4 linked regions of the Styela clava genome follow. The protein of the gene in region 2 purifies or fractionates together with the protein of the main gene of each other region. This does not show direct contact. Links are inferred from orthologs where the notes say so. Each region holds a gene or a part of one and is shown on either strand. Other genes may lie near its edges. The genes, in order: TGF-beta receptor type-2-like, 26S proteasome non-ATPase regulatory subunit 14, uncharacterized protein LOC120332416 and proteasome activator complex subunit 3-like.

Region 1 (7,018 bases), on a different chromosome or scaffold from region 2:
TCCGTGTATTTTATTCAAATCTCGGTCATGGCTAATAGCCTGTTGTGTTTTGTAGTTTTCGTTTAGAGAGGTTACGCGTTTTTCATTTTGTGTACTTCCTATTATCAAATTTAAATTTCAGATTTTAATATATATTACCAATACACTCCCTAAAACACACAATGAAACTTATTGCGAGATGGTTTAGAATTTTAATGAGAAAATGGTGTCAATATGTCAGGACATTATTCCAACTTACGCTAATATATTTAAACAAATCAGACTCAACGTTTTGAGCTTAGCCTAAGCCCTGATCTTAATTAATCGGGTTCAACAATTAGCCCTTATACTGTGTTCTGGGGCTGTATGCGAACGCGTAACTCGGGTTTCTCGAAGCGTAACCAAACATCACTTTCTCCCAACCATCCTCGACAAAGCGAAGTGGGTCGCTCTCAGTAAACAGTAAACGAGCGTATCGACTTTCGTCGCTCAGTGACGAATTGTAGTCGAGTAGGCGTTCAGTTCGTTCATGTTGTTGTAAAATCATATTGTCAAGGCATAAAAGCATAAACAAATTTATCGATTTCTGTAGTATTTGGTGTGCACAAGCTTGAGAAAATAGTGTAATCAGAATAAGATGAGTTCTGGAAAATAAAAACGCCGAAACGCATGTATCGTGGCCGATTTATTACATTCAGAACTTTATAGGGTACTTCAAGTTGTTGATCTGGGGTTTGGTAGTCGAAAGGTCTTAATTTAAGGCAGTTAATAATTCGGGATTGTTTGTACAAAGCTCCCGCAAAATAAAAATCCGCCGACGTTTAAAATAGGGAAATTATTAATTATCCATTCTGGATCAGGGTTAGGCTTTCATATTGGGCTGGGAATTCAAATTTTCAAAGCATTCCTAACTCGATAATTACTAATTTTTTTATATTAAAACGTGGCGGGGTGTTTTTCCTAAATCTCACATTTTTACATTCGTGGCGGAAGCTTTGTATGAAATATTCATAAATTGTATGTACGTATTTCTGGTTTTCACCCTTTCCAGTTTGAATGTCGTTTCTTTTCAATCAGAAGAATAGCGAAGAGTTTAGCTTACAACAATGCCACTTTTGTGATTGGCAAATTCTTATAATCTTTCTGTAAAATGGAACCCTTTTTGCCATGAAACCACCACGATACGGGTAATCGAATATGCGAACAATTTATTACTTCCTGGAAATAGGATATGGTTACATGAATGTTGCTGACGATACAAATCTAGTGAGGTCGCTTTCAGTAAACATCGAACAAGTACTACAGTGAAAGTACAGTAGAGTGATTCCTAAACTTGGAAATGTTCGTTGGGCACTCCCTAACTTTCTGGCGACTTACGTTGGAAGCTGTGAGTGTTTCAATAATAGCATTATTTGAGTAAAGAGCAGCAGTCCGCTTAATCATGCGAGAGTTCCATATTTCAGCAAAATTAAGAAGTTCAAATGCGTAAATTTGGATTGAAATTAAGTGAGTACGAGTACCGTTGTAATTACGCTTAGTCCGACTTTGCTTCCGATTCAGTCGCGTCAGCCGACTAATGCTTCGGGCATTCGTACGGGATCGCATCGATTTTCGCAGTGTTCCCGCGTACGAAATATTTGCGAGATTAAATTGATTTCGCTGAATTCAAAACTTTTTCAAAATCTCCATTACATATAATCATATTTTAATTAACCGAAGTGAAAGTTTACTGGATATTATCCTAATATTCACGTAAAGTTAACAATATTAAAAATTACAGGAGCCCGTAAATCAGTTACGCGTGAAACAAATTTCAGACAATACCTTATAATCAAACATATTTCCATCCATGAACTGCGCGGAAACATTTACTGACTAAAAATAATTACAATGTACAGTATTCAGTAACTTTAAGGTACCTTGTTGTTAAAGAAAATTATAACATAAAAGTGATGAATAAGTGTGCAGTATGCCATTCCGGTAATAATTCTTGAAGTCCATTGAATGCCACCCCAGGGAATTTAGACGTCGGATGTTACGGCAGTGAAACCCTTTTACAAGGCCACTGTAATTAACCTATGCTGCAAGTAAAGTTTACATTGGATGTACCATTTTGAAACTTTGAGAATAAATATCAAACTGCACCCGAATAAACACAAATTCAAATTTTGATCTTATCTAATGCCACTAAGAGAATACTCATAAAATCTTACCGCACTTGTTTACAATAGGTTATGACATCCAAGCATAATTCAACACAAAACTTCGAACATTTTGTATTGAGCTGAGAATTCAACTTCGCGATATCGAGACAGATTAAAAGTTATTGGATATTGAAACGTGTCGAAACTCCAAATAAATACGGTTTCTTCTGAAAGTAAACAGATAATCCTAGGTAACTAAAAATTAAAAAAAACTCTATCAGACAACGCATTTCATTATGCAGAATATTCAAACCTGGTCAGCACCTGAACATAATGACGAAAAAACCTGTCTATAATAAACTAACTGTTCCATTCGTTGGAATCTTAAGCTGAACTCACGCTCATAATCTTGAAAGCTAAGATAAGAACACAAACTCGAAATTGATGCATCGGACCACCCGTTAATGCTGTTAAAATCCGATTGGTTACTGCTTTCTATACAAAATAAGATACAATTTCAAAAACTAAACATTTGGCATGTTCTTTTTATTATTTTAATATGGTGACCGTACATTTCAACCCATACATTTGCACCCGTATATCCGCGGGTTCAATCTATAAGTGAGTGCTAAAATCCATGGGTTAGGGTTAGTATGGGTTCAAACATTCGTAAAAAAAAATTCCATAGGTGTAATAGTAAGCAGTTGCAATTATTGTGGGTTCAAATGTAATGGAACCTTCTAATATATATTGATTGTTACTGATTACTTTTTCTAAACGAAAGTTGAAATTTTTCGTACAACGCCAGATTTTGATCTGTTAATGGTTGCCATTCGCGTATCACAAAATGGCATAGGTAATAAGATATTTGGAATACTATTTCAAACAGTTATGTGGATACTATCCTTACTTGAAAAAATGCTCCAATTATTTATCTGAGTGCGGACAATTGCATAGAGTATAGAGCTCAGCTAGGAAGACGGGTTTCGAATCGAATCCCATCGTTGGTTTATCCAATAATTGATGAATAAACATTTTCTGTTTCAGGAGAATCAACATATTTAATATAAATCTAGTTGGTTTTGATTTAGTATTCTTTCGCTCAACACGAGTACAACTTAAGTCGTTGTTAGTTCTACAAACACGCCGATTTTTATGAAAAATACAGTTAGAATAGCAATATCTGGACGACTTTATGAAAATGTGTTTACTTTATTACGTGGGGAATATACTTTAACACGTTCGGAAGTTAAAAAGCAGTTCCTGTGGTTGTTTTTCGATATTTATTAAGGGAAATTTTGTATTTTTCCAAATGAGTGATAACATTTTAGCAAGATTTATTAATTAAAAAGAGGGCCCCTGTATTATTCTACCCGATCTGATTGCCCCGAAGACAGAAATCTCGCAATTTGTCCTTATGCGAATAGTACAACGGAAAAATATCATTGAAAATAAGATCGAATGTTCTGAACGGACTTATTTTACAACGAAACCGTTATATATATGCTAAATTTCAATTCAAAAAATGTATCGTGATTTACAGCAAAACGATAGTTTCGATCTTCTAAATATCTACACCGAATAAAATGAACTTTTTCCAAGTTCAAACAAACTACTCGAACGGTTCCATTATATTTGAACCCACGACAATTGAACCTATGGAATTTTTTTACGAATATTTGAACCCATACTAACCCTAACCCATGGATTTTAGCACCATCATATAGACTGAACCCGCGGATGCAACGGGTACAAATGTATGGGTTCAAATGTACGGCCACCTACTCGAACATCTTAAAACAATTTATTTCTCATTCAACATTTGCCCATCAAATTTATTTTTGGATTTTACTTAATAATATAACTCTATCACTTTCCATTTAGCAGTTTATTACTACGGACATGGGTAAACATATAAAGCTTAATGTTGGCATATTGTCTGTCCTGATTTTATTTTCTTTGCCGTATATGACTGTATCAATGGGATGTCTATCTTGTGAAGAATCCGACGCACAATGCAACGTGACGCACTGCTACACACAAAAATGTGAACAGACAGATACATGTGAAGGAACATGCCTTCTTACTGTTTCCTTGAAACCTAATCAGCAAGACACAGCGTTCACAATGTGCATGAACGAGGTAAAGTGAACTTAGCTTATTCAATTCGTGGATATCCAATGGGCAGATGGATTTAGTGAGTCAACGAATAATAAGAATAGGTGTATGGGATGCAAGTCCCGATTTTCTAAAAAAAAATATCAACTCCTCAGCAAATGTTTTATGAATCATTTTTTCACATCATTTTTCGGTTGAAAACGAATAGGATATTTATTTTGAGAATTTATTTGTTGCTAAAATTGTTACTTAACAGTTCGGCCCTTAAGTTTGAAAATTAATTTGGTAATTGCGCCTTATATGAAACGCCTTATTGTATAATCTGACAAGGGTTCTGTATCAATGTTAAATATATGTATAAATATATTCATGTACATTCAGACAAATATTGCATCTGTGTACGGCGAAGAGGATCTGGGGCCTACTTGTATTCAGTCTCGTGAACCAAACTATATTGCTGAAGAGAATTTCAGCACAGTTAGCTGTACGTGTCAGTCTGATAATTGTAATTCCAACATTGTTTTAATGAAGATAGAACCTCCGACTGATGCGAGTAAGTTTGTAAAGTTTCAACAAATCCATAGCACATCTCCACTAAGGCAGTGGCGTTAACACAACCTATTGTCGGGTCTGTCCATGTTCCACGTTTTGTATGACTATATTCAGTTTGACAAACATAATTAATCATGTACCTATGCGATGGTAGTTATTCAATACAGTCGAGAGTACTAAATGCTGTTAAGATCACCGCAGACCTTAATTCTCCCGAATAATATACCTTGTATACCGCCAACGTTTCTGTGCAAAATGCTTAAAATACGTTGACACTAAAGAAATTCTCTGTATCGTTTTTACTATTCTGAAGATTCTTTGTGAGATCTGTGGCAAAATTGTGTGAAACTCAACGATTTTGTATCATTTAAGAATTAAGTTATCGCGTCTTGTCCGTGTCATCCTGATACTCTTTTTGTTGAGCATTCATTTTGTTCAGAAGAAGAAAAAGATGCTGACATCACGGCTACTCTCGCATCCGGTATAGCGGTTGGTGTTGTCCTAGTGGTCGCCATTATCCTGCTATTTCGACTGATTGTCGTTCGACGAAGGAAACTAAGTGACGAAAAGGAGAAGCAGGCAATGGCTGGCGCGGGTCAAAGTCGATTTTCAGCCGATAGTTCAAGCTTATTAGAAAGTGCATGGGATGAAATGGGAAAACATAGCTGCTCAACCTACAAGTAAGTTGTTGGAGCTTAATTTCATTTGACATTGTGTTAATTTAGCTTCACTATTTGCAATCAACATTGTGTTTTGAGCGGTATACTTCAACTTTTTACTACGTGTTACATCTTTTCCAATTTTCCTCTTTGTATACCCCACAAATGAAAAAAGTTTACTTAATATCATATAGTAAAAAGTTGTTTCGTGAAGTCATGCCAGAAGTCTTACTCTGGTTTGTGGTCGTGGACAGACTAACACTGTACTTATGAATTAGTATTAGTGTTGAACGTGAACTGCGCGTATCTTTTTCAAAAGCACAAAACGAGCTGTAGTATATTAGGCCCAGGCCATAGCTTTAAATCCTTTTATACCATTTGTTATTTGTATATCCGGTATCTGACTTGGTATGTATACCCGTATACCCAGTTGAATAGCCCTGGGTCGAAGTATTGGAACCCGCAACACAGTGTACTCAAACTTGCCTTTCCGCAACTGGTTCATTTTATAATAAATATCAGACTGGAAATGTATATGTATATACTGTACTGAGTATTACCATATTGCCAGGTAATTTGTGACTGGCATATTACTATTTCGATGCATTTGGAGAAAACTAGGATTTATGATATTTGAGTTGAATACTATTTTATAAGTTTCAGTCAGATGCTTGCTATATGCTTTCATTCTATTATGATCAAAACAACCATTTCTATTATAGGTATTCAAACAGCGTAAGTTCACACTATAGTCGAGGATCGAAAGGAAATGCTCTCAACCAAAACGATCAACATTTGCCTATTGAAAAGAGCAAAATAATAGGTACGCATAATATTGACTTTAAACAGACTAACTTTTCCTCTCCCGGCCTCTAAATTTTTTGAAATGTGCTAAGCATAATATTGCAGATTCTTTCTGTAATTGTTCTTAAAAATAGATTTCGAGAGTTAATCCAATTATAGCTAGATTTAAGTGACGCACTTAGTCACTAAGTCTAGATTTATTGATATATATTGTACGTATGTACATGAACAATCATTTAGATTTCGTCGCACGAGCCTACAAAAAATCTGAAAGCATTCTGGTTATTCGTTCCCACGTAACATTACGAAATCAAACAAGACCGAAACTTCGCTCTGCTTTACAATCCATTGGCATCTATTGCAGTATTAAACTTTTTGTCTGCCCTTTATAGGTCGAGGAAGATTTGCAGAAGTTTGGAAAGCGAAGTTACAGCAGGATAATCAAACAAGCAAAGTTATTTCTGTCAAAGTATTCAGACTTCCTAACTACGGTGCTTGGAGACAGGAGAAAGAGATTCTTTCGGAAAGGTAAAAATTAACCTCGTTTAATTGGCTTTTATCAGTATTTGAAAACTGTCTTTGCATACTTGTAGGCTGAGGCAAAAACGGCTCCCGCATTCCATTTTTGAAAAAAAATAGACAAGAATAGATAGCCATTGTTAAATTTTTATTACATACTTAGGAAGGCATTTGTTTCCCATGTAAACTACTTTTTGAAAACAACATCTTCAAGATCGCGCGATACAGCTGCAATATATTTTT
Region 2 (7,829 bases):
TCGATGACAACCTGGAAAGAAAAAGCTCAATCAAACTGAGAATTATTGGAATTAACAGACTATTCCTGCTACTCCAGTATTGTGTGTACCAGGTTAGGGTTAGGCCATAATTTTATTCCGATTTTCCTTATTTTAGTTCTATTGCGGGTTCTGTGTTAGCCAAGTGAATATATCCCCTGCCTATAGGTTTCAGTCCCTTTACACAACTTGATGTAAAATAAGCAAACAAAATTAGTTACCTCCGTATTGGTACACACACTTCTGGAGCGTCCTATTTTGCTACAGACCACTTTATGGAAAACAAATTGCAGTACTTGGTATTAGTTTTAAATGAATGTAATAATTTATGTGAATCTCCACAACACTAACATGGAAATATGCATTACAGTTGAAGAATTGAAAAATAATAATCGGTGAAAGTCTTAGCTAATGACTACCAGAGAATCGCCCGCCCATGGCCCCTAGAGCCCAGCTTGAGAGACCGTGGTCTGATTGCTTTCCTGTACCGAGCGTTATTTGAAGCAACAGTGAAGAAAACAATTATATTCTAGACCAGGGGATCCCAAACCAGGGGTCGCGACCCCAATTTGGGTTTGAGTGATAAGTAGGTAGGGTCGCAAACAGGTCATGGGGTCGCTGAGGTATGGTAGAGGATGGATGTACAAAGCATCTAAGATTTGACAAACCAAGTTAAATTTAGCAGTTTGTAGTCCATGGCTTACTTTAAAACAGGAACATAGGCATGCTTATTCTATAGAAAATGTAGGCGCTTGTTTGGTTTTAGCTTATTTTACTTAATACCACGACATGACCAAACTCAAAAGTCCAGTGAAACAAGCTCTAGAGTTTCATGAAATATATATATATATATTGACCTGGGGTCGCACTGGAAACTTGAAAGATGTATTTGGGGTCGTCCTGAAAAAAGCTTGGGAACCCCTGTTCTAGACATTTATAATGACAAGACTAACCTTTCCTTTAACGCTCTGAATCGGGTCGACCACGACGGCAACAGCTCGTTCGGACAACGCTTCGAAACTTTGTTGGGTGTTGATGTCCACACCAGATAGCCAGCAACCGAAGCCAGGATGGGAATGGTACCAACCTACCACCATTTCAGGCCTGTATTAAAAAAAAAATTTTATTAGTCATTTCAACACATTTATTAAAACCAAAACACACTGCATAAGAAGCATCAAGTGGTCAAACATGTTTGTTTCAAAAGTCCATGCGTTTGAAACGAATGACCAGCCAACTATGCCTCTGCATGAACTGGTAACCAGACGAAAGTCCTTGGTTCGCCATATGATTGAGAAAGAAAGAATTTTTTTTTTCGTTAAACCAGAAAACATATAAAATATATATGATAGCAAAATGGGAAAAATTAAGTTTTAGATGACTGGGTGGTATCGATACAACCATTCACAGTCATCTGAGTCAGATACCAGTACCACCCAAAACATCATTTTCTGGGCTTCCCACTCCCAAAAGGATAAATATAGAAATCCTGTTATTCTATTATCATCACGAAGCAAACAAAATTCCCCACACTTTCCTAAGTAGGCTGACACAACTAATATCAGCATACCTTCCAGTCTGTTTCAGCATGTCCAACATCTTGGCTTGAAACACCGGATCCACAGCTTCAACACTGACTCCAGTGCCAGACTGAGGCATTGCAAATACATCAATCACTCTGACCTGTTAAAAAGGATAAAATTTATAATCAGCCCTGACTTGTTCCGAGTTTTTATGAGGTGTTTTACTCCATCTTAACATCATACAAGCAAGCATTGTAAGCTTTTGGAAGAAGGCTTGGCAGTTTACACATCATGCTCATAGTTAGAAATATGCCTTCCATTGCACCTCCAAGTACCCGTCGCGAGTTCAAATTCTGTGTGAATGAACACTTCTTTTGACAACACTTTTCATCTAAAATTTGTACGTTCAAACCCTCACTTATTTATTATTTTGTTCACTTTCCTGATTTGCTAATCATATTTATTTTGTTTTCATTAATTCTTTTATTGCCTTTTATGCTGAATTATGAAGTCGTAATGAATTTATACCTAAATAGGGATAATTATATGCAGAGAAGATCGCTGGACTCCTTGTGTCTTCTGGTGTCATAGGGTAACTGAGTCTTGTTTGAAGTGAAAGGTGTATAAAAATACAGATATTCATTACAATCTTCAGTCAGTATTGAGTACAAACAATATCTCACCGTATAATCATCAACAAATTCTCCGAGCATCAAACCCATGACTTCCATTGGTACGCCAGCCCTGCCATGTTTCAACATCTGAAAAGATAAATTTATGTTAGTCTGTAAGTTGCATAAAGAGCCTGCAGAGGTTTATCCAGAAATTTGATTTATCTAACATTGTTTATGCTGTAACTTCATTGTTTTTGAGGGAATTTTGGAAGGGTAAGTGGCTAGTGTTGGATTCAGTGACCAATATACCTTCTTAGATTTTTCAACATTGATTAGGTTATTGAAATTAATCATTGCAAATTTAATACTTATCGCAAAGTGGGAAGCCAACCTAGTTTTTTTTTAATGAATACAAAAATATGATTAATTTATTCTGACTATATTATTATTCTAATTTTATTTTACATTTTACACTCACAGACCTAAGAGAGAAATTGAGCAATATAACTACAAATGAGTTTCAAACCATGAGACATAAAAAAAAGACATTTTATTTTGAACTACACCATGATAAAAAGAAGTATGATACACAAGACGAACACAGAAAATTTTGAAAACTGGCGTTTAAAACACAAGAAATAAAAAACACCAATCACAATTTCTCACCTTTAATAAAGCTAACGATGAAATATAAACTTGTTCTGCTGTGTCAACCATGGGAGCATCAGACTGGGGTTGTTGTCCAAATCCCTGAAGTCCCCCACCCGCTCCTAATCTCATTAACCTATCCATTCTTATATTTTAAATGTGAGCTGAAATGTGAGAAACAGCTCGTAGTTTCTTCATTAAAAAGTCTGAGATATGATAATTTCAAACAAATTAATATAGTCTAACTGTATAAGATAGATACTTTTGAAAACTCCATAATACAGATAATTATGTAAATCCTTCCTTCCTAAATACACTAATTAAAATGGAGAATTCTGCAGAGCAAGTAAAACCCTTGAAACAGCAAAAAAGTGAAAGTACCATGCTTCTGCTCACCAGCACACCTACAAAAAACACTTAAGCTATTAAAGACACTTAAGCTTTCTGTAACCATTCAGCTAGCAGGCTATTTTTTAATTTTATTTTAACTAGGCTATTATTCTATCACCTTTCATGCTAATCAAAATAAACCTGCTATTATTATAAAAAATAAATTCCATAATTTAGATACGCACTACTGTACTATACAACATTTTGACATTGCTATTTTTGAGTAATTTTTTTTACTTGTCAAGGAAAATTTCCTTTCAACATAAATCCTTTACCGGTACTAGTATTTTACAAATATAAACAATAAGACGAGAAAGAAGTACGGGTATGCCTGATACCCAATACAGTATATTCAAAATTAATAGAAAGGCAGAGTTCTAGAGTCAGTAATCAATTTTAATTTTTTTTTCAACAATTATTTTATCGTTGTTGTACAGTCAGACAGCTGTAGGCTTCTGATTTGAAATAAAACTTATACTTCAAAACTTACAGACTTAATGAATACAAGTGCCTTGCCAGGTCCCGTCCATAATGCCAAGTTTATCCAGATATTTTACTGAGGCATACCCTTACTACAAAAGCCTGAAACTCGCAAACTCTCCACTTGCAGACCTGTGTTGGGCATCAACAGGTAAAACGAAATTCAGGCACACACGATAATCATGACTAGGGTAAACGATATTTGCTTATTCATGGTATTCATTGATGCGTAACATAATTGAGTTGTAGCACGAGTCGAACACACAGAAACTATTTGGAAATAAGACACTACCTCTCACACGCAAGAAGTTGAAATTAATAAACATCAAAAAATGGTGATAGTGTATTGTTATTACTGTTCTTACTTACATTAAGAAGAAGAAGTATTCTTTTTTTTCGGGTAATCAAAATTAACCCACACTTAGATAGATAGATAGTTTATTTCGAAAACTCCACAATATGATAATACAAAAAAAATTAAAAATGGAGAATTCGAGCAAAACCTTTAAAAAAATTTAAAACATGATGAGTATCATGTGCCCGCTCATCAAGACGCACTTATAACAAACGCACTTATACCAAATATATGCGCCACTTGATCGTTAAATGACAATTTTTAACGACTGCTGTTGAATTAAGATACTTATACGTTATGAGTAAAAACGCGATATTCAATCATTTACACTTTGGATTATTTCGTTGAAAATTTTACAATTAAAATTTTCGCCTTCGTGCTACCCTAATCAAACGGCGCCCATGGAACGAGCAATGGCTCCCATACCCCAGAGACGCCACAGTATATTCCAATGGCTCCGTGACGCACTGACTTCGAAATAAAGAAATAGGAACCATGAAGGCGGCGGTTGTTCAGCAACCTGACTATTCCAAGGATTGTCTACTCCAGCGTTTCACAAACTATTTCGGCCACGGAACACTTACAATTTTTATCTCGCCTCGCGGAACACAAAAAAATGAAAGAGTAAAAGTAAAATGGATAAAGAAAAATGTTGTAGGCCTAATGTATATAGCGGTTCCCAATGGGTTCTCGTGGCAAGTTGCCAAATGGGCCGCGAAAACTAACAGAAGTGTGCTAAACATACCTAAAATATGATTGAATATTTCACAAATTGCATATATTATAAATGTTTTATTGTTTCTTAATTTAAATTAACGTAGTGTTTGCCCTTAATGTTACGTCTAATGGTGATAAAGGTGCTTGCCGCAATTTCGCGAGCGGCAAACCTGCAGTTTATTTATCTACTGAATAGAGTTTAGCAATTTTTTCAGCATTTCAAAGTAAAACCAAGCAGATATGGAGGAAGAAGAGTTGATCTTATGTCTTTATTCGGTGCTCCCGAAGTATGCGAACCAAGATGGCGGACATCGGAACGTAACATGGGTAACAGGTTAGGGTTAGGCGATAATTTTTTTCCAATTTTCCTTATTTTAGTCCTATTATCAGTTCGAAGACTAGCCAAGAGCCTCCCGTAGTATTTATACCTAAAATTATGGCCTAACCCTAACCTAGTACACATATTACATTCCGATGTCCGCCATCTTGGTTCGCATACTTCGGGAGCCCCCTTTATTCTTTAGACCTACTTGTTTGCATTTAGCAAAATCAGCAGCATAGCTGTAATGAACCTATCAGTCAACAAGCTAGACCGACGGTTAATGAAAATGCCACTACCCTATAGTTGGTTCACTTTAGGCCGACGATGACGCGATATCGAACGGTCAGTTGGGCGACAACTTCAGGTTCCATAAATCGCCATGGCGGCCATTTTAGACGTATTTTTAATGTTTTTACCACGGAACACAGTTTGGGAAACGCTGGTCTACTCTAATGTATAACCCAACTGGAAACCGACGACACGCTGTTGGTTTTCATGTGATCGGGTCATTTGTTAATTTTTCCTATAGGCCTACGTTTTACATTTTTTCTCTTTCATCATGACTCCATACATACTTCACTGACATATAAGAGGATACTAGCAATTGTGTATGACTTCAAACTTCAAGAGTCAAATGATATGTTTTCTTGAACATTTATCTAATGTTACGTTTTCTTTCTTTACTATTCGCATCGGAATATATCCTATGCAAACTGACTCACTACTCTGAAACGGGGAGAGAAATTGTTCTCTCTCTTGTGTATTTCTCAAATCTATCTCATCCAAGGAACTATTTGTAGATTAATCAACAAATGAGGTTTTAGAATGCTAGTCCCCCGTTTGTCCTGGCGCTAGGACAGCAAATATTGAAATATAATCTTTATAAGTTTATTTTTGACTCCACAGCTAGCATAAAAGACGATAAAATTATTGAAAAAAAATAAAAAAATAAATAAAACTGATTACAGAATTAGGGAACATATTTTGTATATTTTAAGCTTGTTGAAAGCAACACAGAAAACTATAAACACAATCTCGATTTCTTAAATCAACCATTTGAAAATAAAGCAGGAATGCATAGTTTAGATTAATTGATGAAGGTTGCATAAACAATAGAGCCATTAGTGAAAATAATCATGACTGGGCTAACCGTATATATGAACAGAAAGCCAGGACATTGTGAATTGAACAAACATTTATTCGATTCCAAGGCTTAGTGCTAACCAACTCATATTAATAATACTGAAATCATTGGGACACGTGCAATTTATTTTCTGCATTTTGATTAATTTAAGGGTGGTACAGCTATCGCTAGATGTCAAATTGTCATATTAATACAACCAAATTTTCAAAACCCTTTTTAATACAACCAAATGTCCCATTTCCACCTTAATACAACCAAACAATCCAATTCCCATCTTCATACAACCAAACAAGCCATTCCTTCCTAATACAACCAAATATCCAGTTGCCGTCTTAATACAACCAAACATCCCAAACTCATCTTAATACAACCAAATATCCGATACCATCTTAATACAACCAAAAATCCCAATTCCAATCTTAATACAACCAAATATTACAATTCATCTTAATACAACCAAAAATCCCAATTCCAATCTTAATACAACCAAATATTACAATTCATCTTAATACAACCAAACATCCCTATCCATCCTAATGCAACGAAATATCCCTATTCATCTTAATACAACCAAATTTCGCAATTATTATCTTTTATGACCAAATATTTCAATTCCCTTCTTAATACAACCAAATGTCTCATGCACATCCTAATATATCCATTTCAATCTTATTACAACCAAATATCCCTTTCCCATCTTATTACAACCAAACTTCCCACTTCCCTCCTCATTACAATCAAATATCGCATTCCTTCTTTAATACAACCAAACAATCCTATTCCCATCTTTATACAACCGAACTTCCGATTCTCTTCTTAATACAACCAAACACCTCGTCATATCTTAATACAACCAAATACCCTCTACCCATCTTAATACAACCAAACACCCCATCCCGTCTTATTACAACCAAACATCCTGGTCCTATCGTAATACAATCAAATAGAATTACTCAAAGCTGAGCTGGGTATGGAGTTTTGTGTACTGAGTACTTTTAACTAATGCTTGCCATGAATCAAATATCAGGTGCCTGTCGGTGTCAGCGCTATAGTTTGTTGTTCAAACAATTGGCATTGTTTAGTGTGGCGTGTCGAAGGTGTGTCGCATTGGTCTCGCAACCTGCTCTTAAATAAGTTTAGTCGAGGTTCATTTTACCGATATTCTTTTTGCGTTCAACTGACTTTCCGATCCAAACTTGGCACTTGAAATAATGTGTGCCGTCATATCGGTCTCTTTTTCTCGTTTTAAATCAACATTATTAGCTGAGAATGATGCTTAGAAGCTGGAGCCAATAAAATTTCTGGTAGCTCTGGCTCCATCTAACATGGCAAGCTTTTTCTTCACCAAAATGTCACAGCTCCATGGCACCGAATACTGCTACCCAGTCCTGATAATGAGAGTTTCCAACAACAACATTGCAACAATGTTCACCCTGTATGTGTTCACAAGCTCTAATCCTGTGGGATACGATTACGTGTAAGTAGATTACCAGTAACCATATGATCAATCCGTATCGTCAGCTTTCCTCTCCCCAAGATTAAGATGAAAATTCTAATCTTATATTTGTTTGAAGCTCTAATAAAAAAGTATTCTTCAGACGGCGCTCCGAAAGTATTT
Region 3 (7,483 bases), on a different chromosome or scaffold from region 2:
TGCGTCATAACTGAATTATCAAACGAAAAAGTGGTATAAAATCAAAAACGTGATGGATAATATTGTTTTGAAGTAAAATAAATTGATTACCGGTATTTAAGCAGGCTCTGAATACAATCTAAATTAACATCATACAAGTCTACAAATTTTCTTCAGATAAAGGTTATAAAGTCTGCTCACGAAAGCTTGCATTCTTGAAAGTTTTTGTTATTAAAAGTTGGTTTGAAGTTGGAGATGAAATTTTTTTGAAAGCTGGACTGATTAGTAGACCCATGGGTAGTTTGCTGTTCTAGTTTGACATAAAGTACTCACTTAAAAGTCGATTAGAACAACCGGGGATAAAAGGGAAATGAATAGTGTTTATTTACGCTTCTCTTACACGCCTAAGTATACCACGTGTCGTGTCTGATGCCAGGCTTATTGGTGTTTTATCATTTTTATTACGAATTGTAGTATCAGCGCCAGCTGAGATGAGTGTTTGTGCTATGTCGACACGATCCTCTTCGCAAGCTAAATGTAGAGCAGTGTTCCCCTCTGAATCAGTACAATTGTAGTTTGTGTTGTATGCAAGTAGTAGCTTCACCATCTTAGTGTTCCCTCGTGAAGCAGCTCGATGTAACGGTGTTGCGTGGAGATGATCCGCTACGTCTGTTTCTGCCCCGCGGGCGAGTAAACCCTCTGCAATTTTGTATCTGTAAAAGCAAATATCATGTCAGAATGGAATAATTTTTCATACATGATCCTAGGTAAAAGAAAGTTGAGATGAGCAGGATACCCCAAGTCACAAAGAATTCTATTACATGAGAGTGTGACAGGCAAAAAGATGGAAGCAAAGTGGGTTTTATGTCCCCTCAAATACATTCTGAATAAATTGTCACTGGTATTAAGATCCGATACCTTCACCCAAAGATGCTTAATAAATGCACAGGTTTTTCATTTGTTACACAAGGAATAGTCTCTAATATTAACTATTATCTTTAAATAAAATGCATTATTTAAGAGCCACTGTAGCTTAGAACATTGAATAACTGCTTTTTGTGGCTTGTTTAAATCATTAATTAATGAAGGAAATCAAAAATGCCATGTTCATTACCATCTGGGGCGAATAATTTGTTCCACATTCTTATTCTCAAACCAGACCCATTTTATTTGACCAACTACTTGAGCATATGGGGCATTTTGTTTAGTATTACTGTATATCTTAATTATATAAATTATTTATTGAAAAAAACCCTCTTTCATTTATATTGCCTATAAAAAAAAACCAAATAGTACACGAAGTAAATTTTGAGTAACAAAATTACCGATCTCTCGATGCAGCATAATGCAAAGGAGTCTGTCCTGTTGAGTTTCTTGCATTTATCGCAGCACCTCTTGACATCAGTGCAAAAGCGATCTCTTCATTCCCATTTGACGAAGCAATGTGAAGAGCTGACCAATCACTGTCATCCTTTGCATTCACATCAGCTCCATTGTCCAATAGGAAATCAGCAATGTCTCGCTTCCCAGCAGACGTTGCCCAATGTAGTGGTGTTCGATCTGTTTGGTCCTAAAATAGGAAAACATTTTCTTATTTGCCTGAAGGGAAAGATCAAATGAGGTAATTATATGGCGAACCATACTTTCCCAATAACTCTTAGCTTGTAAAATAAGAAGAATGATTAAATAAGAATAACATAATCTCTTTCCACGAAATGGCAAGTATATTTGTGAGCTTTCAATAGATCATAGTCTAATTTCTTCAGACAAAACAAGACATGGCTTAATAAAACAGCAATAATTGTCACTCATACTGGTACTATTAATTAGCTATTCTGATACTTATCATATGTAGGCCTATATGGTGAGTGACAGTCCGAAATGCCCAAAGCATATTATTGGAAATTCAAACAAATTCGGATCAATTGCATTTATAAGTGATTCTTGGTCCAGGAAAGATTTTAACAGAATATTCACATGAATTTATTTTATTATGGCTTAGTTTAACTTTTGACACTGTAAAAACGAAAACTAATCAAAATGATGTTCATCCCTAGCGCTACTATTCTACCAAATTTAATTCCTATATATTTAAAGTGGCTTGTGTGAATTTATCTGGTAAATATACCACAGAAATATATAATAAAAATATAAGTAACTAAACAACTAAAATATGTTTGTAGGAAGGAATTTGATTCTGGTCAAATGAAACGTAACATAATACATAGGTTCTTGAAGTGAACCAAACGAAGCCCCAGGGCTCTGTGAGAGAAACTCAGAGGAATATTTTTTTTTAAAACTAAGCAGCGAATACATTTGAATCATTAAATAAAGTAATTTCAGTTTACTCAGGAGCAATAATCGGTAAATAACAATGTGTTTTTTTATTTTTATAAATTTATTGTGGGGTTCCGTAAACAATAGTAACACCAAAACATTGAGAACCCCTGACATAATATATGCGTGTATACTGCAAGAATCTTGAATCATCTTTACCAATTAAAATATAAAACGAGAATATCGGTTGGAAACCGAAGACTTATCGATCGATAGTTAGGGGATCCCCCAAAACAGAAACTGCAGTTTCGATTCATCCGCTCTTGTAACTTGCGCACTGCGCATCGCACACACACACTCGGCGGGTTTCAAAATTCTCTCGCTTTACAAAAATCTAGATCACTATATCAATAATTGATTGATAACTCGCTAATTATACGACATAATTCGCCCAAAATCAATAGGCTTCTGGTCCGAGATAAGATGAATGCACATGCAAAATCTGGAGCAGATTCAATCTCGCTTTCGTGAGATATCGCGTGCATCTAACAGACACACACACAGACATACAGACAAATACCTATCAATATACTTACCGATCTTAAGATCGATAAGTAATGAAAATGAGAAGTCACCTTAATATTGACAAACTGTGGCTTCTGTGATATTCTGTATTGCAGTAGAGCTTGTTGTCCGTCGTAAGCAAAATTACAAATTTCTTCGTTTGAAACTCCAGCTGACATATTTACTATCAAATCGGTCATATTTATTCTGGAAAATAGGAATGATATAGTGAGTAAGTAATTGGAGTAAAATTGTTCTGATTGGTCATGCTGCATTGACTTGCAATCACAGCTGCAGGGATGAAGATTGGCAAGTTTGTCTTGATTGCAGAGTCACATTTTTCAAACTCTCCAAAAGGGGAAATTTTTGACATCAAATTCAAAATCTTTCATGGAAACTGAAAAAAAAAATACATTTGGAGTTGACTAAGCATTCTCATTAAGAATATCTGAAAATTTCATTAGGTATTTGGGCCCGCGCGAAATGCAGTGTCTATCACCATTAGAACATTATTTATTAGTTCTGGTAAGACGAATTGTGGTAGTGTTTCCTTATTCTAATCAACTCCCTTAGCACTGTTCCTTCACATAATCGCCAGTTTCGTTCGAGTTACCTAGTATGGGCCATATTATTTTAAACCTAAATAGCAACTGCATTTATTTAAATTGCGCCAAGTATTCTGATTAAAAATAGAATACATTAGAGTCTCAAACCCAGAGTCTGTGTCAAAGTTTTCATTAATCAAGAAGTCAAAGTCATTTTTGCAGAACAGAAAACCAAGATTATGATTTTCCAGATAAACATATTACTTTATTAGAAGCCAATTGTTTGGTAATAATAACATTCTAAATCTTATGCTAACAAGACAGCTGTTAATCCTATAACTTTAACTATGCAACATAACTACTCTTTCCTGACTCCGACAAAATATTTACTGCCTTTAACTATTAGAGAATTATAACATAAGCAAGTACAGCAGTTCTTCGAGTGACCTGCAAATAGCCTATATCTCCTATTTGCCACAAAAAGTTTTGGCTTCTTCATTTTTGTTAAATAAACCCACTTAGATAGACTTTTAACCGTAAAATGGTGCTAGCTCTCACAAGTAAGAAGTCGGAAAAATTGTGGCTCGCAAGGTCATTTAGTCCAACCTTTAACATGTTTCATAATTACATAAAAACATTCCCATTTGATACAATTTTAATCATAAACATATGATATTCAGCCTCCAGATGTATGCCGACTTCCTTCGCCGACAGAGCGCCTTAGCTAACAATTAAAGTCAGACAAAAGGCCGGGTATAATTTTACTCAAAGAATGTAATAAAGGCAGGGCTCGCGAGACCGCCTTTGTTATATGTTTAAATGGCCCTTTGACATAAAATCAAGCCTGCTATATCGATTAAATAGACATGTTTATTTATATGAATGCCACTTGAAAAGAATCATAAATATTATCGCCTCTGACATCCCACAACGCGATATAACCATGGCGATACTGACGCTTGCTCCCCGCATTCCTTTGCAAAATTGTCTATTCATGGAAACATGACATAACATATTTCAATAACCTTTGACCTGGTATGAAGAATGCGCTCAAGTGAATATATTACGAAAATGTGATTACTATATCTATTTTTAAAGATGGGTTAAATAGGATAAAAAGTTCAAGATTGCTACAAACACAATCTTGGGTACTTGAATAAGGGGGAAAAAAATGACGATACGCGAGTTTGCGTGCAGTTATCATCCATTTGGAATAAAACGTCACTAAAACAAATTTATTTTCAGATGTTCTAAATATTTTGCGCTCAGTTTTCTGGCATTTTATGTAGTATGGTATATGTAACCTTTTGACTCATACTTTGAATTATAACGATATTGTCAACTGCCGACAAAACGATTTTTTGTAATAGAATCATATATATATACTTCATCAATGCAACATTTTCAACGCTGATTTTGAGAGTGTTCAGGAGAGTTGGCGCTTACAAACAGGCTCACGCATTAAAAACTATCATTTTCATTCAAAGTATAAGTATATTTAGATTTTCCCACACAAAAATCATACACGAAACACAAACAATGAACACACAGAAGAAGAGAAAATCGGGGAAACTGGCAAAATCTTTGTAGATATTGTCGCGGACTAAAGTGTCCGCGTTTATGTTTTGTGTATATATATATTTTTATGTTTATGGACCTTTCCCCGACCTTTGACCCTCGAAAAATTCTTCCTATACTTTACCATTGCAAAATTTTCAGGGCTATTTTAAGAGTGCTTTTGCGAGTTGGCGCCTGTAAAATGGGGTATGTGTTTCAAACCATCATTATGATTCATCGCATACAACATACTGTTTTTTAAAAGTACCGGTAAAGAATTTCAGGCTAGTCTATCACAGCTATTTCTACAATAATTTTTATCACTGCAATTAAATTAAAACTCCTAGGAAGACAGCGTGATCATTGAATCATCTGATTTTTATTTAAGTTTCTGAAATACAACTAAAAACTAACGAATAGAGTTCAAAAACGCGAAAACGAGGTAATGTTTACAACCAGCCTTGAAAATCTGTCTGAGTGAGAAAAGTGTCTGAGCGGATGCGAAAAGGGGGGCATTGTTACGTCACTCTTCGCATCTTGCTGATTGGCCAATGTCACGAAATAAACAAGGAAGTCGATACTCGGGGAAAGGTCCGTAGACTGTTATGTTGACATTTATTTAATGCTGTTTTGTCGGATTTGGACTCCGACCACTCACTACATGTGAGGCAAAAACTGTCTTTCGATCTCTCTTCTCCGGCTGCCGCGCTGGCGGGCGGTCGTGTTTTCGGTTCCTTAGTTATATTTTGTTGTGTTGTCTGTTTATGTTGTTTTAAGTCTGATATTGGAATTGCCGAACAATAAACAACCAATCCGGAACCTTTGAGTCTTCTGATTCATTCTACAACCACGGTAACAACATCATGGTCCGTGACAATATACATGCATATACAACCCACATTCAACACAAACATATATTTAAAATAAAAAAGACGAAGACACGAACGGGTATCGTTCGGGCATTAAACTTGTGTAAACATAAACACTCGGTGGGTCCCAATTTATAAATACAATTTAATAAATACACTACAGTGCTTTTTCTATGGAAATAGGGAATAAAAAACACTTGTCGAAATGGTGATGCTCAGTGTTCCCTCTAAAGTGCGCGCGCGCACACAGCTTTCAGAGGCTGCGCACAGACGTATTTCGATGTAATGTAACAATATTCTCGGTTAGCAGGTTGAGAAAGTTTGTTGTTGGCCCACCCATTACCCGGTTAGAACGCCAAAATTTCTTCATTGGTTTTTGCACAAATATTAGTCATTTCCAAAAAAGTGCGCAGACACCAAAATTCCTGCGCACACATACTACAAAAAATTAGAGGGAACATTGGTGATGCTGTAGTTCAATTTCTGTGCAAAAATAACACAGTAACAAAAAATTGTTACTAAATAAACAAGCTTTGTAAATAGATTGAATGTTTCATAACAGTCTATGCAAAAACACGGTATGCAATCCAATCCTTATCCATAAACTTCTTTGATCCCGGTGGATGGGCCTTGCTCATGTTGGTATTACGCGATACAAATCCAACAGTAAATACCAAAACACACAGCGCGTAGCATTCTCAGTCAAACAGCCAACAAGTAAGTCATATTTATTCTGGAAAATAGGAATGATATAGTGAGTAAGTAATTGGAGTAAAATTGTTCTGATTGGTCATGCTGCATTGACTTGCAATCACAGCTGCAGGGATGAAGATTGGCAAGTTTGTCTTGATTGCAGAGTCACATTTTTCAAACTCTCCAAAAGGGGAAATTTTTGACATCAAATTCAAAATCTTTCATGGAAACTGAAAAAAAAAATACATTTGGAGTTGACTAAGCATTCTCATTAAGAATATCTGAAAATTTCATTAGGTATTTGGGCCCGCGCGAAATGCAGTGTCTATCACCATTAGAACATTATTTATTAGTTCTGGTAAGACGAATTGTGGTAGTGTTTCCTTATTCTAATCAACTCCCTTAGCACTGTTCCTTCACATAATCGCCAGTTTCGTTCGAGTTACCTAGTATGGGCCATATTATTTTAAACCTAAATAGCAACTGCATTTATTTAAATTGCGCCAAGTATTCTGATTAAAAATAGAATACATTAGAGTCTCAAACCCAGAGTCTGTGTCAAAGTTTTCATTAATCAAGAAGTCAAAGTCATTTTTGCAGAACAGAAAACCAAGATTATGATTTTCCAGATAAACATATTACTTTATTAGAAGCCAATTGTTTGGTAATAATAACATTCTAAATCTTATGCTAACAAGACAGCTGTTAATCCTATAACTTTAACTATGCAACATAACTACTCTTTCCTGACTCCGACAAAATATTTACTGCCTTTAACTATTAGAGAATTATAACATAAGCAAGTACAGCAGTTCTTCGAGTGACCTGCAAATAGCCTATATCTCCTATTTGCCACAAAAAGTTTTGGCTTCTTCATTTTTGTTAAATAAACCCACTTAGATAGACTTTTAACCGTAAAATGGTGCTAGCTCTCACAAGTAAGAAGTCGGAAAAATTGTGGCTCGCAAGGTCATTTAGTCCAACCTTTAACATGTTTCA
Region 4 (7,545 bases), on a different chromosome or scaffold from region 2:
GACTCCTGTCACAACTGGTGGTGGTCCCATTATGACCCTTGACCCCTTTCAGGAAATCTAATTAACTACCAGGCTGTACAAAGAATTAATATCACTGATTCATTACATTGAAAGAAGAAAATACAGACGGAAATGGCCACCATGTCCGCGATTAGATGGCAGGTTTTTTACAGGAATATTCACTTAAAACAGTGCCATAATGACTTACGATGAACTCAATTAATGAGGATGTTCACTTCCATTACATAACTTGACAATCGCAATAATAAAATCACATGCGCCAAGCCGTCAAAATTATCACCAATTCTAAAATTGCAACCAGCATTAATGTAAAATTATTGCGTCATAATCGCTGTGAAATTCTACAGTATTTATTTAAACAAATATGGAATAAAGTACAAACCACATACAGTGGTAAATCAGTTTGGATAAATAGTATGCTGTTCAGCAATGTTTTTTTCACTGGTTGGGAGCTACTACAAAACAATCGTCTAAGAACAAATAACAAGAAAAAAATGACTGTTTCAGACACCACAGAATACAATGCTAACCCATTATAATTATATACATACAAAACAGTAAATACGACAATTACTAATGTTTTTGTATTTGATTCTACTACGGAGTCATGAGCGGGAGTTAAATTTTATCATAAATCCTGAATCCAAAATTGCATACTTGATCGGACCGTGCAGACCTGGTGAAAATGGTGCTTGAAAAGATAGGTCTTTTTTTCCATCCCCACCATATTACCAATTTAATTTTGAACCTTTTATAGAAAGCTCTCGCCACCTTGAAAACAACACCCTCACCTGCCCTGTTTTAGGTAATTGTAGGTTCGCTAACCCTGACATCTCTGAATTCACAGATGAATTCTATCATTCTTTAATTGTAATTGGATAATCACCAATTTTTTATTATTTTGAGCGCTGGGATGTTTTTTTGTCAGAGGCTTTCTACAAAAGATCCCAATTTTTCAGACATGTCTTACAAAATCGAAGAGGACAAGATGTAACAGGTATAAATATACTGAAATCAGGAATATGTAGTACCTTGATTCAGGCAGTTTAACAACGAGATTCCTTTATTGGAAAACCATCAAGGTTATAAATCGGAATGGGTATAGTAATATTAATATTGACAATATGGTCTTAGCGACATAAGCTATCTGGGTTTGGCTTAAAACAAATACAGAATTTATGTATTTGGGAAATTTGGAATTTTATTTAATAATAAACAATCAAATTGTATACCTAGTAATTAGTAAATGATTGACTAATATGGTTGGAGTCCTCAATAGTACAGGGAGTCTTATTTTGATATGGTCATAACGTCGTAATCCAACTGGGTTTGGCTTGCAACAAATACAGGTTTTATGTATTTGGACAATTTGGAAATCAAATTTTATTTTGTATAACTGGTAATCAGTAAATGATTGACTAATAGGGGTCAGAGTCTTAAATAGTATGAGGAATCTTCTTCTAAGTGATACTTCACTTATTAATGTTACAACAATCAACTATTGGAAAATAGTATCTTAACACTTTCAAAGTCTTTGCATGTGGGGAGGGAAGGCATTTATTACCAACAGTTGTGCTTTATGAATAAATACGGATTAGAATATATTTTAATGGGCATCCTAGACAATTGACAACTTAAAAACGAGATTTAAACACTCAGAGCTAACAATAATTGAACCAGATAATAAAATAAGATACAATCAAAACCTCCTAAATTCAACAATACACCTAAATTTAGCAACTGGAATTTGGACAATATTTTTTATCATTGTATATCCATCACCTGCGTATTATCATTCTGATTCCATAGTTTGTCAAATAATTTATTCAAATACCCTCACAATAAAAGCCAGATAAAACACAAAGAATGGCAGACTGAATGAAATAATAAAATAGTAAATTAATGCGAAACAGCAATTGTGACAATATTAGACAGGCTCAAAACACATAAGCATAAAAACAGATGAATGAATTTTTTACCAAGCTAAAAAAATTTCATGGTGAACTTTTATTCGTAATAAAAATGTTTTCAATAAAATGCCTCGCCAAATACAGAGGATGAACTAATTCTTGCACCAGCCATCTTGAGTCCAATAATATCCTGGCTTTCTATAGTTTTTTGGATCATATCATACTCTCTCGCCAAAGTTTTAGACTTTAATACATTCCATCAATGTTTGAACTTCTCGGTTTCTTGATTTTTTCGATATTCTTTAGAATCAAGTCATGAAGAATGGAATAATGATTTCTCAGCTCACACACTATAAGTCTCAAGCTAAGAAATTCTTTCTCATCGATCTCCTCAACAAAGCGACGATAGTCCTCAACATGAGGATATTTTGCTACTTTGGTGATAATTTTACCTCTTGTGACAAAATATCGTGATATTTGATCTAGAAATGAAGCCGCTTCGCTTTCAACTTGTCTCAACTCTGCAAGAGTATCTTCTTGAATTGAGACTCCAAAATTATTTCCGTCTTCAATTTTTGGAATAAGATGAGTCACCCACATTCGAACAGTATTAACTTTTTCCATCAGTAGACGAATATCGGGTTTTATTCGATCGATTATTGCTATTAGATTTTTATTGCAGGGCACTGGACCACAAGCAAATGAAAATACTTTGGTACCATCAATGTCACCTCCCGGTCCTACATCAAGTTTACGTTTTTTGGGGCTCGTAACATGACCATCAACGTTATTAAAGTCTTGCACAATAACTGCATTTGGAATGGGAATTTCAAGTTTTTGTGCAATGTTTCTGACGTTTTCAGTCTGTAAAACATCTTCTTTTAAAAATTTATCTAGTTCAATACATTTCTTTGGAAAAAATTCATTGACTAAAATTTCAGCATCTTTAGCGATTCCAAGTTTAAAATCAGAAATTTCTTTCCTCAGTTGCTTATCCTTGATTTGTAAATCTTGATCCATTATTTTATTTTGATATTTTAGTAGTTAAATACCTGTAATACAAGAGTGTGGAAATGTGAAAAAAGCCCTTCTGCTATCAAATTCAGCAATTTTTACAGTACTGCAGTAAATAGTTTTAGTAGGCCTAAGTAAAAGGCTTATACATAAAAACATGAAAAACGCTAGTACTGTTAGTTTCTATAGGCCAGTGGTCTATCTGCCTGTAGCAAAATTTACAAATGGTGCCGGCCAGCCGGTAGTGTAAAGGCAGAGTAAGGGTTATTGAATTATAGGGGTAGTCACTACAGCAGCCTTCCGAACTGAGAAAAACTGACCAAACTATGTTCTTTCGGTACCGGTTACGAACGTATCGGCAGCCTATCTCGATTCCAAAACTCCAACTCTGTCACCACTGCACTTGCACGAATCAATGAGAATTCTTATCTATTTTTCTTGGTTTCCCGTACTACTGAGGAGCTATACACTACCGGTAATATCGTCTTATATTGAGATATGAAAATTAAAATCTCAAAACTTTCAGAAAACAGCCACTCGCAAAATAAATCTTTTTAGCCCATCGTGACTCATGGTATTGCGCGGAGTCAATTCCGGATAGAATAAATTCCAATGTCATTCGTAGAACTGGGAAGCGCAGTCTTTGGATTTGAATCAATATTATAATTACTTGTCTTATATACACTGAAAACGGAAACAACCTAACGTTCTTCACGGATAATTTGCTTCAAGCTGTGATAAAGTGATAACCGGACTGGGTAGTGTGCGAGTAACGAGGCTCCAAATCAAACAGACCTTAGCACGTCGTAAGATAATACTGCTGTCTTTCCTAAAAACTACGCAACAAGCTGATTAAATAGTAATTTGTAGCGCCGGAATCGTAAACCGTTTAACCGTTAGAATCACATTTGGCATCGCACCGCTGATTTCCCCGTGTGGGTCAGCAGGTGCGCATCCTGTGAAGATAATTATGTGCGAGAGACGTCCCAGACTCCTCGTCGTCGCAGGGTGGTTCACGTTTGTCAAAGAAACGAGAATTTCCCGCGGCCGATATGATTAGCCTGGTGTCACTCAATTCGACTTTCAGTGTTGTCGTGCTGATGTGATTCGTAATGATCCGAAAGCATAATCTCTCTGATTTTCATCGTTTTTTGGATTTGGATTTCATTGCATGTTCTGGTGCCGTGGCATTTTATTATAGCCTCGAGTTTCTCAAAATGTATCTAAATTTAACGTACTATCCAATCTACTTAGGTGATTAGCGTACGTATCCTCCATTATTTACCATATTATAGATGTGACAATATAATGCAATGTAACTTGTAATGCATCCTAGTATAGAAAATAGGACGTCGCTTGTCAACACCACTTTTTTATATTGGAAACTATTAATAACAATTTATATAAAACGATGGGAACCCTTTGTACAAAGTTCCCACCAGAAAACATCCCCTCCGAGGAATAACTCCAAAAGCAAGCAATAACGCGAGAAAACATTTAAAATACCTGATTAAAGTTTTTAAGGTTTGTTATTCAAGCACCAACTCTTCAATTTCTTGTCCAACACAATATAATTTTTTGCGCATAAAATTATTTGTGATCGAATTATTCAGACGAAACGGTTTACTTTCAAAATTACGAAAGCCAGAACGATTACCCTAAACATTTTATCGGCAATGTATCTGGTCAAAGTATGTTTGAATATTGAAATAAAGTTCTAGCGCTCTACTGGCTGAGGATTTGATCAAAACATATGTTGTCATTTTGTTTGTGATATTTTGATTAGGCTTCATCTCTAAATGCGGATATCTGACCTTATAATGTGCTGGATCAATGAGTTTGGCTGGGGGTGGTAAACGTACTCTTATTATGGGTACTATGTAGTACTTTCTGTTTGTATTCCATCGATCTGAGATGATCCCATATAAATACATTACAGCCGTATTTACCATTACAGTATAGGGCAGGGGTGTCAAACATGCGGCCCCAGAGAACTTCCAATGCGGCCCTCGAACGCTTAACAATAATTGTAATTATTTTGTAAGTATTTTTTATCTAATTGATTATTCACACACAAAAAGGACAATTTACAAAAACTAGTTTTGAAAAATTGATTTTTTTATTTTCAATTTGACCCAATTATGGATACACTTCAAGCTAGCAAAAAAGAATTGAAAAAAACAACACTTCAGGAACTAAATGAAACGCAATGTACACAAAGAAATTGGCATTTTCGAAAAAAAGGGGGTTGCAATATTTCTGTATTTCTCAAAATTCTAAAGCACATTGTTTAATTTGGCACATTTATTTTTATGTGTTTATATTATAATTATCGTACTACCTAGTTACTAAAAATCAATATATATAAATCATAATCCAAGCGGTCATATGCCACGTGATGCCAATGGTCGACCCCCCCCCCCCCTTTTGGAATGTGTAAAAACGACGACTAATAGGCGCGACTTGCCACGCGCCGAATAAGCGCATGAAACTTTATGGCTCCGGATGCCGTGGCAAGTAGAAGCGATGTGATTGTGACTGAATAAGGCGATTTATGGACCTTTCCCCGACCTTTGACCCCCATCAATTTTTTCCTATACTTAACCATCGCAAAATTTTTGGTGCTTATTCAAAGAGTGGTTTTGCGAGTTGGCGCCTGTAAAATGGGGTATTTTGCTTCAGACCATTATTCTGATTCATAGCATTCCACAATCTGTTTTGTAAAAGTACCGGTGAAGAATTTTAGCCTAGTCTATTGCAGCTATTTTCTACACTAATTTTTTATTACTGCAGTTAAACTGAAACTTCTAAGAAGACAAAGTGATCATTGAATTATTTGATTTACATTTAAATATTCGAAACAGAACTAAAAATTAACGAATAGATTTCAAAACGCGTAAACGTGGTAATGTTTACGGCGACGCCTGAAAATCAGTCTGAGCGGATGCGAAACACGTCACTCTTTGCATTTTGCTGATTGGCCAATGTCCCGAAGTAAACAAGGAAGTTGATGCTCGGGGAAACATTCAGTTCTCTTAGAAACCTTGCGTTTTGAGGCCTCCGGCCTGTTGCTCTTGCCAGACCACCTTTTGCTGTCAACTCGGCGCCCCGAAAGTATTCGTACCAAGATGACGCACAACCTGAACCCTAACCTGGCACACATACTATCTTCAGGTTGTGCGACATTTCGTACACACCTAAATTTCAGAGCTCCCCCCCCCCCCCTCTTTGAAAATTCCTGGCTACGCCCCTGCTCGTTAATTAGAGTTGATACTGTGAAATCAATTCAGCCCGATATTAGTAAGCTGGTGGCACAAAAGATGCCAAACGTCAGGACATATATAATAAAAAAAAAAAACATGGGAGTTTATTCGTTAGTCTTTTAGGGGTATATATTTAGATTAAGTCATTTTTATTATGTATTATTCTTTTATCAAATCTTTGTTCAAAAATGTTTTGGATAGTTGTAAAAAAAAATTGTTTTTTGGAATAAATAAATTTGCAATAATAAGTGAAATACCAAGAAATTATTATGTAAATGCCATTTAAAATTTCAGAAAATAACAACTTCATTCGGCTATTTAATTGCATCACAATATATGTCACACACTACACATATCTGAAAATATGCTTTTAAGTATACATTATCAAAATATATCAAAAGCTGTTTGCGGCCCTTTGCACAATTCCCAAAATGCAATGCGGCCCTTGAAAACGCACGAGTTTGACACCCCTGGTATAGTAGGCCGCGAGCCGAGGCCATGAAAAACGCCTAGAAAGTGAGTTTCGTAGCGCACATCAGGTAACTACCTGAAAATGATTTAAAAATGTTCCTTAAAAATGTAGTAACAAATATTGCCTTGTTCCCACTTCCAAAAGTTGCACGTTTTACGGAAAAGACGCTTTTACTACAAAAAATCTGTGCTACGATCTGTCCTATATTCTCTACATTTTCGACAATGAACAATGACTTCTGCATGACGTAACAATTGAATCGAATCAGCTGTTAGCGAGCGGATGAATATTAGTTATTACTGCTCGAGCTTGCGTTGAGTTGGGCAGCCTTTCCATAGCCCTGTTTAGTTATTATTAGTTAAGTTATGCTAAGACGTTATTGAAAAATGTATAAGTAAGTTATTAAACTCTTGTAGATCCTTACAACGGATATGGGCCGTGAGACGAAGCCTTGAAAACGCCCAGAAAATGAGTTTCGTAGCGCACATCTGGTAACTAAATAAATCCTTCAGTTTAGTGTGAAAATGAACATACTGAACGCATTACAGCTTGTTCCACAATCCTGATGCGAAATTGAATATAAGAGGTTCCCGGAAATTCAATAACCATAAGTTCACAACACATACATAAGAACTATGCAATTCGAGAGCCCTACAGCACACTAACACAAATGTATTCCTGTAATGTTTTGCCTGACCAAAATCGGACTTCCTCAGTCAATCATAATTTATTAGGTAGATTATGAAAAATATGACATACGTGTAACCAACAACAAAAAATACTTTAATTGTGTGACAGGAGTGGCGAGTGACCTCGAAAGCAGCGACACCAACAACGCTGATTCACATTAGCGAATGAATTTTAT

What was found.
Region 1: the proteins of 26S proteasome non-ATPase regulatory subunit 14 (region 2) and TGF-beta receptor type-2-like purify together in Homo sapiens (affinity purification with western blotting; 3 studies listed by BioGRID, with this or other methods). This does not show direct contact. The link is inferred for Styela clava from reciprocal best matches to the Homo sapiens genes PSMD14 and TGFBR2.
Region 3: the proteins of 26S proteasome non-ATPase regulatory subunit 14 (region 2) and uncharacterized protein LOC120332416 purify together in Homo sapiens (affinity purification with mass spectrometry; 11 studies listed by BioGRID and IntAct, with this or other methods). This does not show direct contact. The link is inferred for Styela clava from reciprocal best matches to the Homo sapiens genes PSMD14 and PSMD10.
Region 4: the proteins of 26S proteasome non-ATPase regulatory subunit 14 (region 2) and proteasome activator complex subunit 3-like purify together in Homo sapiens (affinity purification with mass spectrometry, with the first as the bait; 3 studies listed by BioGRID). This does not show direct contact. The link is inferred for Styela clava from reciprocal best matches to the Homo sapiens genes PSMD14 and PSME3.

The regions. Positions count from the first base shown.
Region 1 is NC_135252.1:2,400,352-2,407,369, forward strand, and holds the start of TGF-beta receptor type-2-like, read left to right. Parts: upstream 1-4,007; 5' UTR 4,008-4,025; coding exon 4,026-4,265; intron 4,266-4,622; coding exon 4,623-4,794; intron 4,795-5,232; coding exon 5,233-5,473; intron 5,474-6,174; coding exon 6,175-6,275; intron 6,276-6,648; coding exon 6,649-6,784; intron 6,785-7,018. UniProt on the Homo sapiens protein: Transmembrane serine/threonine kinase forming with the TGF-beta type I serine/threonine kinase receptor, TGFBR1, the non-promiscuous receptor for the TGF-beta cytokines TGFB1, TGFB2 and TGFB3.
Region 2 is NC_135263.1:668,311-676,139, forward strand, and holds the start of 26S proteasome non-ATPase regulatory subunit 14, read right to left. Parts: upstream 3,025-7,829; 5' UTR 2,948-3,024; coding exon 2,822-2,947; intron 2,303-2,821; coding exon 2,225-2,302; intron 1,702-2,224; coding exon 1,589-1,701; intron 1,123-1,588; coding exon 972-1,122; intron 12-971; coding exon 1-11.
Region 3 is NC_135262.1:2,710,904-2,718,386, reverse strand, and holds the start of uncharacterized protein LOC120332416, read right to left. Parts: upstream 3,024-7,483; 5' UTR 3,021-3,023; coding exon 2,892-3,020; intron 1,550-2,891; coding exon 1,305-1,549; intron 693-1,304; coding exon 365-692; 3' UTR 1-364. UniProt on the Homo sapiens protein: Acts as a chaperone during the assembly of the 26S proteasome, specifically of the PA700/19S regulatory complex (RC).
Region 4 is NC_135250.1:5,804,058-5,811,602, forward strand, and holds proteasome activator complex subunit 3-like, read right to left. Parts: upstream 3,003-7,545; 5' UTR 2,952-3,002; coding exon 2,178-2,951; 3' UTR 74-2,177; downstream 1-73. Other genes in the region: exocyst complex component 2-like, read right to left, coding at 1-30. UniProt on the Homo sapiens protein: Subunit of the 11S REG-gamma (also called PA28-gamma) proteasome regulator, a doughnut-shaped homoheptamer which associates with the proteasome. 11S REG-gamma activates the trypsin-like catalytic subunit of the proteasome but inhibits the chymotrypsin-like and postglutamyl-preferring (PGPH) subunits.